Mus musculus: one gene and its partners. The protein of the gene in region 1 interacts with the protein of each later gene in a biochemical or structural test. Links are inferred from orthologs where the notes say so. Each region holds a gene or a part of one and is shown on either strand. Other genes may lie near its edges.

Region 1 (3,651 bases):
GGCTAACAAAGGCCCTCAGCAGAGGAGACAGCAGCACAGAGCTTCCCCAGACCAAAGGGAAACACAGTTATGGAGCCTTAACTATGTATGTATGTGTGCACGTGCACACATCTCATCTCATAGCCCAGGCTAGCCTAGAATTCACTCTACAGTCCAAGCTGGCTTGGAACTCACCATGTAGATCAAGTAGGACTCAAACTCCCAGCAATTCTCCTGCCTCCTGAATGCAGGGAGTACTGAGTGCCGGCATGAACTACTATGTCTGGCTGTATTCGCTTACTTCTGCGTTTGAATTATTCTTCAGCAACCTTTGGTCTGGGATTCTTTTGCTGTGATTCCTCACCACTGTGCAACCGCACCCTGCCACTTTCAAGGAAGAGGATTTCTCTATTGTTCTTCCAGAGGCCTGCTCGTGCCTGGTCTCTCTCATTTCCCGTCTTAATGAGGTTGGTGTTCAGCACAAAGTGCCCCCATCCATCAGCTTGTCACACACAGGCTCGTCAGTTGGATACAGACACAACAGGAAGGACTTAGACCTGAATTCACCTCCAAGTACAACAAGCATCAACTTGAAATTCTATCCATTTAACTTCAGGCCCGTTTTGCTGGTAAGGGGCGGCTTCTAGACCATATAGAACTACAGACTGGCCCCAAAATTCACAGGCTTCACTCAAACTAAGCAATATTCAGTAATTCAAATTACCATTCTAAGGCCCTGGGTTCAGTCCATGAGAGGGTGAGAGAAAAGACTCCTCCATTTTCCCAACTCCTTCACCCCCTTCCCTTCCTCACTCATCCCACTGCCACCCCAATTCCACACCCACCGTCCATCGGCACTGCTAACCCACAGTGCCCATGACCCAGGGGACATGCCTCAACCTAATTCCTATGTGCTGCCCTCCCTAACACACCTGAGGGCATCTCTCTCCTTGAAAGACTTTCCAGGAAGTTGGCTCGGATTAAGGAAGGTTGGATTGAAAGGCAGGCTCAAGGGGGCCCACGTAAGCCCCACGTAAGCTAACCAGGGGATGGGCTTTGGGTTCCATTCTACTTCCTGGTGTCCCTTCACTCTTGAACCCACACATTTTGTATCTTTGCTTTCTAAGCTTGCTACACTTGATCAAAGCATTCCTCCTAAGAGCGAGCCACAGGACAGAGTCTAAACTGAGTTGATTTAAGACTTCTTCTGTCAATGCAATTAATCTGACGAGTCTCTTCACCTTAGCCTCAGGTAAGACTCTTGAAACAAGGGCAGAAAGCAGTCACATTCTTCACCAAAATATCAGAGCAGTCTCTAGGCACAAACTAAAGTTCTTCTCCTCGGAGACATCTAGAGCCAGGACCCCAGGGTTCAAATCACCCTCAGCACCACTGTCTTCCATATTCCTACTAGGATGGTCCATTAAGCCCCACTACAAGCATTCCACTGCTTCCAAATCCACGTTCTTCCAAACAAAAGCAAGATCAGGCCTATCAAAGCCATATCTGAGACCCTGGTACCAACTTCTGTTTTAGTTAGGGCTTTACTGCTGTGAACAGACACCATGACCGAGGCAAGTCTTATAAAGGACAACATTTAACTGGGCTGGCTTACAGGTTCAGAGGTTCAGTTCATTATCATCAAGGCAGGAGCACGGCAGCATTCAGGCAGATATGGTGCTGGAGGAGGAGCTGAGAGTTCTACATCTTGATCCAAAAGAAGCCAGAAGGAGACTATCTTCTGCAGGCAGCCAGGAGGAAGGTCTCTTCTGCACTGGGCAGAACCTGAACATAGGATCTCAAAGCCCACCCCCACAGTGACACACTTCCTCCAACAAGGCCACGCCTCCTAATAGTGCAACTTCCCATGGGACAAGCACACTCAAACCACCTCGTACTTCCTTTTATAAGTTTCTTCGGTGATGGTGACTTATCACAGCAATAGAAAAGTAACCAAGACATGGGTTAATAGACCAGGAAACCCGACCCCGGGACCTGAGTTTCTCAAGCAAAGACTTTGGAAGACAGAATAAGACAAGAACAGGACTCATCACTTGGCTGACCCTGGCAGAATGAAATGATGAAGGTCTGGGCAGTGCCTGGATTTCAGCCTCTGTCAAAACAGTTTCCAACTCAGCATCCCCAACCTCGTACCTCCTTCTTCCTCGTAGTAGCAGAAATAAACCACTTGGTTTGGAGCTCAGCAGGTCAGAGCACTAACTGCTCTCACAGAGGACCCAAGCTTGGTGGTTCCTAGACAACTGCCTGTAACTCTGGCTCCAGGGGATCAGGCAGCCTGTTCTGGATTTCATGGGCACTGCATGCACATACATGTGCACATACATATACACATAATGTTAATGAGATACGTATACAGCTCACCTTTACTGACATCCCATATGATAACTGTGTTATCCACAGAGGCAGAGGTCATCAAATTCCCATCGGTTGCCCAGCAAATATCATACACATCTTCTAAGTGGCCCCTAGAGCCCAAAGACAGAAGGATTAACATTATTACTGTAAAAAGAGAAAAGCTACCAAAAAGTTCAAAGTCACTGGGCAGTGGTGGTGCATGCCCTAAGGAGGCAGAAGAGTTCAAGGCCAGCCTAGTCTACAGAGTGAGTTCCAGGACAGCAAGGGCTATAGAGAAACTATGTCTTGAAAAATAGGGGGGGGAAAAAAGTTCAAAGTCTATAACCACACATTGGAATTAGACTCTAGGAATTTTCCATGGAGATGTGTCAGCCCTGGCTATAAACAGCTGTTTTCAAAGACATCTGTGTCTAACGTGATAATCTAGGCACTAGGAAACTGAGGGGATAGGGTGGAGTATTCAAGGCTAGCCTGGGCTACTCAGCTGGACTAGCCTGGCTCAAAAACCAGATGGGGGAAGACTTGATTCTTTTTTACCTGATTCTTTTTTACTTTCTATTTTCATAATAGAAAGAAAAAAATCTATTTTTATAATGTTTTTATTGTCTTATAAAGTAGGCACAGGCTTTAAGTTAGGTACATAAACTATTAAGGTATTCAGGCTGTAAAGAAGAGTCACTTGGGGGCTGGAACTTAATCACGGTTCTGGCTCCTCCAGAAAAGTCAGGTTTTGTTCTCGGGTAGCACAGAACCTGTGACTGCGGTTCCGAGGAATCTGCTACCCTCTTCTGACCTCAGCAGGCACTCACACACACAACACTCTCAGTCATAAACTAAACAATCATAAATTAGAATAACCAGAATATACCTTCAAATAAAAATGGATTGTGGCCACAGTCCCTCCCCTGTTACCTCAGGGTCTTTACCACAGTCCAGTTCTCCTTATTCAGCTGCGCCTCCTCCTCATCCTGAAAGGCGATCTGCTCCGGCTCCTTGCTGTCATTCATCTTCCACAACAGAATGACGGCATCTGTGAGGTAAATCAGTATAGCATGAACCAGGCCCTTCCATGCCCTCCTTCATGTCTGGAGTTTTAGAGTGTCCTGTATGCTTTATATTGTTCAATGGACTCTCTGGCCATGAGGAGTCACTCATATCCAAGAATATGGCTAGGTGGTGCGTGGTGCATGCCTGTAATCTGGCCCTTGGGAGTCTGAGGCAGGTGGATCTGAAGTGCAAGGTTACATGGTGAGTTTGAGGTTAGCCTGGGCTACACGAGATCCTAGAAAAACACGA
Region 2 (2,652 bases), on another chromosome or scaffold:
CAACAACAAAAAAACCTAAAAAACAAACTAACAAACCAACCTCTCCCCCCACCCCCGTAAAAAAACAACAAAACAACAAAACCACCACCACCATAAACCCTAAAGAAAAACAACCAAACAAAACAAAATAACCATTAAGCTGGGCAGTGGTGGCGCATGCCTTTAATCCCAGCACTTGGGAGGCAGAGGCAGGCAGATTTCTGAGTTCGAGGCCAGCCTGATCTACAAAGTGAGTTCCAGGACAGCCAGAGCTACACAGAGAAACCCTGTCTCGAAAAACAACAACAACAACAACAACAACAACAACAACAACAACAAAAAAAACCAACATTAAAACAACCCTTTTGCAGGTATGGTATTGTACACTTTTAATCCTATCACTCGAGGCAGAGGAGGCAGAGGCAGAGGCAGGTGGATCTCTGGTCTACAGAATGAATCCCAGGCCTGCTATGTGTGAGTGGGTGGACGGAGGAGAGGGGAGAGAAAAAAGCAAAACAATCTAGATGAAGTGCTTTTATTCTTAAGACAACCAAAACTTTTAATATAAAACCTTTTAATATACACACTGCAATCACAATAGCATACATGTAGCAGCAAGGGAACTAAGGGCTTAGGATAGAGGTGGATGGAATGGGAGTTTTTCAGGTCAGCCTGCCAAACACCTCCTTTATCCCAGAGTATTTGGGTATAGCATGAGAATGAACATGTGGTCAAAGCAAACCCTGATGACTCTATGGGGCCAGAATGCATGAAGCAGGACCTCCAATATACCTACCTAGGGCAATCCTCTCAGAAAGCCAGGCTCAGTCAGGAGATGAAAAGGTGGCTGTGACCAAAGTACCTGACATCCCTCATTGGCCTGGGGAGCTCACTTTTGCGTTTTGTAGTACTAGTTAGACTGAATGTCCTAGACACTCTGAAAGGATAGCCATTGTATTGAGCTGGCCTTCGAACTAGGACTTCTTCCTTGCCTAGTCCCCAAGAACTAGAGTTGGAAGGAGTGATAACCTCTGGCCAATGCTAGCCAGACACTGCCCAAGCAAGCCTCACAGAAGGTGGTGTTCAGAAAGCATCTCATAGAAACTGATAATATATAAAGAAAAATGACGCATAGAATGAGCAATACAAGTACCTGCTTTTTAGAGGTCAGTAGGTCATAAGTGAGATGATTCTTCTGGACCTGGATGGAAGAGATTGGGGCCCATTGTTTTTTCTTGGGGCTGACAGATCTGGAGACAGCTGGTGGTCCCCAAATCCTTGAGATGACCAAGCATGTCTGACTGAGGGCTTGTAGGTCCCCTCCAGGTGTGCAAGGAGACTGCTGTGGTCCTACTGAGCTCTACCTGGCTCCCCTGTCAGATGCAATCCATGGAGTTCTCAGGGAGGAGGCCTGGGATGCAACTAGGGAGGCCCAGGCTTTTAACAGGAGTGCAACTGAGGGAAAGGCTGAAGTCCACATTGGGGTCCTGGTTTTCTATGGCTTCCAGACTGTCTGGATTGTTGTCCCAGTTGATATGGAATCGGGTCACCCGGGGGTTAGAGGCCAAGATGTTCCGCTGTAGCTGTAGTAAGAAGAAGAATGTCAGCCCTTGTCACCTAAGTGTTCATTATTCCCTCAAACCTCCACTTTGAGCCTGAAAGCAGACTCAAGCACCCCTGTTGCTCAGATGTAGAACCCTAGAGATACTTGAACACTCTGGGTAGGAATAGGGCCTTCTCATCCTGGGTTTGCTTAGCTTTGTTCATTTGGTTTTGGGTTGTTTTGAGAGAGGGTCTCAACTATGTAGCCATGGTTGGCCTATAACTATATAGATGAGGAGGGCCTTAAACACATGAGATCTGCCTATATCACCCCAAGTGCTTTAACCCCCGCCCCCAAGTACTGGGGTTAGAGATATGTATTACCATGCCTGGCTTATTTGATTTAAAAAAAAAAAACAAAAAAACTTTGTATATGGGTGTTTGGCTGTAAATATGTCTATGTCACATATGTGTGCCTGGTGCCTTTGGAGGCCAGAAGAGGGCATAGATCCCCTAAAACTGGAGTAAAAGTTGGTTATGTGCCACCATGTGGGTGCTGGGAATTGAACCTGGGTTCTCTGGAAGAGCACTGAGCCATCTCTCCAGCCCATTCGCTCGCTCTTTCTTTCTTTTTTTAATATTTTTATTTTTATTGTATGAATGTTTTCCTATTGAGATGTCTGTTTGTCACGTATATACCAGATCCCTGTGGAAGTCAGAAGAAGGCATAGATTCCCCTGGAATTGAAATTGCAGGTGGCTGTGAGCTACCAATGTGGATGCTAAGAATCAAATCCAGGTTCTCTGCAAGAGTAGCCAGTGCTCCTAACCATTGAGCATTTCTCAGGTGCTCCCCAAGCCTCACACACCTGGAAACAGGGTCTTGCTATGTAACCTAGGTTGGGCTGGAACTCATTATGTAGATGATGCTGGCCTCTAACTTTCAGGGCTGGGGTACTGAGATCAGTATGCTCCATTGGTCCTAGCTGTAGCCCTCATTCTGTTAGGCATGCCTCCAGAAGAAAAGACTTACTATATTCTAGCTCTAGCTTAGCACTGCAGAGACAGCATGACCTGTTAACCTTGACTGACCTTGGCTCCCATCTCCCCTCAACTGTAAGGGAACTGGCCT
Region 3 (4,397 bases), on another chromosome or scaffold:
CTAGCTTTCAAGTAATAGGTTTCAAGAGTATAGAAGAGAGTGGATAAGGACAGGTAATGGAGAGTGGGTTAATCCAGCCTTACTAAGAACAAGGGACGGGCACAGGTTGAGTCTGAGTGCGATGCCATGCTTATTTATCAATGTGTTTAGAAGCCGGTTTCTCTTTTCTATGCCTCTGTATTCTATGAGTTATGGTGAAGGGCTGTGGCTCTACAAGAGTTTCAATCTGAAAATTATCCATTTATTTTAAAAGTTAACTTTTCCATTTACTCATGGTAATCCCAGCCAGAAAATATCTCCATATGTGGTGGAAGGGATACTACCAAGGAAATTTTAAGTTAATTACATTGTTGGGAAAATCTGTGGTCTAGTAGAAAATATACAGTCTTTGCAATCAGAACAGGCCTGAACTTTCAAAGTATAAAGCCACAGGGTCAATTTTGATGCACTGCAAGTATTAAGCCTTAGAAACTGAAGGAGGGCCAATTAAACGTATAGGCTTAGTGATCAAGCATAATAAAGCCCCTACTTAAAGTCTCTTTAAAAATGTTTAAGTGTGTTTCTGTATATATGGGTACTGATGTGGAGGTCAGAGGACAACTGGTTGGAGTCAGTTCTCTCCTTCTACCAAGTGGATTCCTGACAATAAGGAGGCTAATTGGTACGTTGGAGGTAGACACAAATCATAAACTCAAAATTACCTGTAGAGGAATTTCTACGTTGATCAGTAACTTAACAAGTCACAGTACAACAAAAGTATGGGCCCTAGAAACGAGCTTCTGCAGGGTAAATCAACGCCCATCTCCTTGCTCCACAGAGCCTCTAGATGGAGTAGACAGGAATGGCACCTTTGTCAAGGGTTCCTCTGCAGCTTTGGAATGACTCAGCTTAAAATACCTTAAAATAATGGTGCGCTGGTTTTGAATTGTACTAGAGGAAGGCATATTCTTGACTTGAGTAATAACACTGTTGTGAAAGGATCCCTGTTTAACATGGAACCCTGTTTGGTTTCTGTGGGTGGCTGGTTTCGAACTATCCAGTGTAATGACTCTGTAACAATATCCTAGAGCCTATCTTCCTCATACAATGTGGACCTAAAATGGAAGCCATCATATGAGAAACACCTGTAGTGTAAAGAACTTCTAATGCCTCGAACACTGCACTGAGTTAGGATGGACTCAGCCATGATCTTACTTTATATTTGATCATTTGTATATAAATTGGCAGTTTGAAAAAGAAAATTAAAATCAGTGTTGGGGTTGGAAATAGGTCTGATGTGGAAATGCTGTTACATTTCAAATGGAAAACACCCTTACACTTACATTAATCATCACAGTCTATTCAGAGACTACTATATTTTAATGTTTAGTCAATCTTCAAAATATGTCCCACTCACTAAATGTATGCACGTTATAATTTACATACGTATTAAAAACAGCAGGGTACGTTTTAAGTGATGGTTAGCCAAAGGAGTGAAGAGAAGGGGCTGTGACTTCCTTTTTACAATTTTTAAAGGTTTATTGCAATGGTTTTTATAATTAAAGTTAACATTCTACATGAAGTACATTGAAGAGATTATAAACTTTTAAATTAAAAGAGAAATTCTTTTCGTCATGATTAGGATAATACAAGGCATTTTGTCGAAATACTTTCAAGTCCCAAGATGTCCTCCTAGTTAACTAAAATTTAACACCAATGAAGTTAAACTTTTTGTTTCAAATGTTGAAAATGAAGCATTGATTTTAATAAAATCTAAGAAAAGCGTTAAGAAGCCATATTTTAGCTTTCTAAGTTCTGTATTACCTCACTATTTCGCATTTTTTAAACCGTAAAATGTACTTCAGAAAGGATTTTGCCTTCTATCTCCCAGCTAACGTTTGCATTTTCTCCATCTGCTTGGACGTGGAGTTATTTTAATTGCTTCTTCTTCACACGTTCTGGAGAAAGTCTTTCAGACTTTCTAAACGCCAGAGAAGTGCCTGGAATTGGTTAAGCACCCTGCTTCTGCTCTAGGGTGCCATGGAACTTCCCAGCCCCTCACCATTTCTCTCCGAGAGGTCTCTGTCCCCGGGGAGAGGCGGCGCACAGCATCCCGGGCGCCCGCGGAGAGCACGGCCGCCCCCCGGGAGCCAGGCGCCGAGGGGCCGAGCCCAGCGCCCGCCTTCCGCGCTGGTTGGTGGAGGGAGCCGGAGAGCGGCGCGAGGACAGCCTCGGCGGGGCTCGGGCGGGAAGGCGCGGGCCCGCTCGCCCCCGGCGGTCCGGAGCAGGCGTCGTGCCGCCGGGTAAGATGGCTCCGCTTCCCACCGGCCCAGCTTGCTCCCCACCGGGCCGTGGGGCCCTGGGGCCGCCGAGGCCGCACGACCCCCCGCCAGCGCCGCGCGAGCCGGGGGCCGCCGAGCGCCGCCCGCCGCAGACAAAGCTGACAACATGGCTCCCTCCGCCCGGCAAGTTGCTCGCAAGTTGCGGCGCGGCCGGCGTCCCTCAACTTCAAGTTTCCCTCGCATGGCCGCCCTCCCGCCGGCCGCCGGCCGCGGCCCACCCCGCGCGAGGCCGGGCCGGGAAACTTTAACGTCCGCCGCCGCAACTGACAGCCCGGCGCCACTCGCTCACCTTCAGACAGGTCCTCGATGCACTCGAAGGTGATCTCGAACTGGAACGGGTTGTAGAAAGGCGACGGGTTATCCAGCACCACTACATTGTTCACCTGAACCTTTGCCATATTTTGAAGAAAACACAAACAATGGGGCCGGGGCTGGCGGCACCACCGAGTCCCGCGCGCGGCCGCTCCGAGAGCGCAGACCCCCGCCCCGGCGCGGCGCGGCCCGACGTCGTGCAGCTGCGACTTGAGAAACTTTTTTTTCCTTTTTATTTACACGGCGGCACTCCACGGTGTTTTGCAGCTTTCCTATTTCACTAAACTACAGCCCATTCTGCCCTGATAACTAGCAGCGTTGCCCGCGATTGGCTGCCCCCGAGCTCTGACCCTCCTCCTCCAGCGAGGGCCGCGGCGGCGAGCAAGATGGGCTCCCGCTCGCAGAACGGACGGGAAACTTTCACTGCGGCTCCACCTGCTGGTGCGGACCAGGACAAAGGCGCAGAACAAAGTGAGTGGAATAGGGGCTGGGAGGCCCGCGCGGAGGCCGCCGGCGGCGGGGGAGGGGCGACGCAGGCCCCGCCCCCGCCCGGCGGGGCCGCGCCACACGTCGGGCGTGGCCGCGGCGGGACGGAGGGGGCGGGACCCGTGGGGTGGGCGGGGCCGGCGGTGGAAGCAGGAGGGCGCGAGGCGGCCCCGTGTGTGTGCGCAGCATGGGCCTTGGGGTTTTTCGGGTTTTCTTCCAGCCTTTAACGCTTCCCCCACCAGTGCCGGCGGCTTTGCTGGCTCTGCTGGATTTAGCAGATAAGGTGTGCTTTGCAGCCCTTGTCAGGCCCAACTAGCTGTCTGTGCTTCTCGCAATCGTAATGGTAGAGAATAGGGAGAAGGGCTGGTTGCAGTGGGAATAAATTGCATTTTTATAGCCCATGTCAGCTCGAAAGGAGCAAGCCATTTTGGAATTCAAGTTCTTGGCCACGACAGTGCGGTGAAATAGATACAAAATGAGGGCGGGGTGATTTTACACACACACACGCAGGCTAGAAAAAAAATATGCGATCTTCAGCTGCATGTTGGATTTCTTCCCATTTAATAACTGAAAAGATGTAAAACAAAACAAAAAAAAAGAAATAAAAGGGGGAAAACGTGATCAGTTACAGCGAGGCTTCTGTTGTTGGGGGGGCACAGAGAAAGAAGTCAAAAGTCGAGAAAATGGAAGTGTCTGAAGGCCAAAGGACAACAAATGTATTTTTGGTGGAATATGAGAAAGGAGAAAGCACAGATAACATGCCATTTGCTCTTCAAGGCATTTATAACAAACATTCATAAGTGAAAAAGTGCAGCACACCAATTCTGAGGAGACCTTCCATGCCTGTGACGCCTGTGAGACCATTTCAAGGCTGACTGGAGGAAAAGTTGCTTGTTTATGGTACTTAGCCACTGTGGGTAGACTAGGAAACAGGAAACGGAAACCTAACACCTTTGTGAATGTGAACTGATTCTTTTTACTGTGGAGGTGTTACTCATAAACCATTGGGTTCTTTTCTTTTTCCTTATAAATGAAACTACTAAACTATTCAATAAAATCCGGAGTGAAAATTATGTCTTAGTATTAATCTGCAAGTGAAGTTTCTGCTAGTGTGCAGAATTTAATTAATCTTCCTTGGACAGGTTGAGACTCAACTGGATTGCTGTGGATGATCTGTCCTTGTCCGAAGACCTTTAGTTATCATGAAGCAGGGCCTTCCATGTTTAAGGAGATTAAAGTGGGGAGAGAGCCACTTTTATTGTCAGTACGCTGGGCAAT

What was found.
Region 2: the proteins of Chaf1b (region 1) and Asf1b form a complex in vitro, tested with the Homo sapiens proteins (2 studies listed by BioGRID and IntAct). The link is inferred for Mus musculus from reciprocal best matches to the Homo sapiens genes CHAF1B and ASF1B.
Region 3: the proteins of Chaf1b (region 1) and Asf1a form a complex in vitro, tested with the Homo sapiens proteins (2 studies listed by BioGRID and IntAct). The link is inferred for Mus musculus from reciprocal best matches to the Homo sapiens genes CHAF1B and ASF1A.

What each region holds. Positions count from the first base shown.
Region 1 is NC_000082.6:93,886,856-93,890,506, reverse strand, and holds part of Chaf1b (chromatin assembly factor 1 subunit B), read right to left. Parts: intron 3,386-3,651; coding exon 3,268-3,385; intron 2,466-3,267; coding exon 2,362-2,465; intron 1-2,361. UniProt on the Homo sapiens protein: Acts as a component of the histone chaperone complex chromatin assembly factor 1 (CAF-1), which assembles histone octamers onto DNA during replication and repair.
Region 2 is NC_000074.6:83,968,044-83,970,695, reverse strand, and holds the end of Asf1b (histone chaperone ASF1B), read right to left. Parts: intron 1,563-2,652; coding exon 1,356-1,562; 3' UTR 501-1,355; downstream 1-500. UniProt on the Homo sapiens protein: Histone chaperone that facilitates histone deposition and histone exchange and removal during nucleosome assembly and disassembly. Cooperates with chromatin assembly factor 1 (CAF-1) to promote replication-dependent chromatin assembly.
Region 3 is NC_000076.6:53,595,512-53,599,908, reverse strand, and holds the start of Asf1a (histone chaperone ASF1A), read right to left. Parts: upstream 2,949-4,397; 5' UTR 2,720-2,948; coding exon 2,611-2,719; exon of another isoform or gene 1-2,610. UniProt on the Homo sapiens protein: Histone chaperone that facilitates histone deposition and histone exchange and removal during nucleosome assembly and disassembly.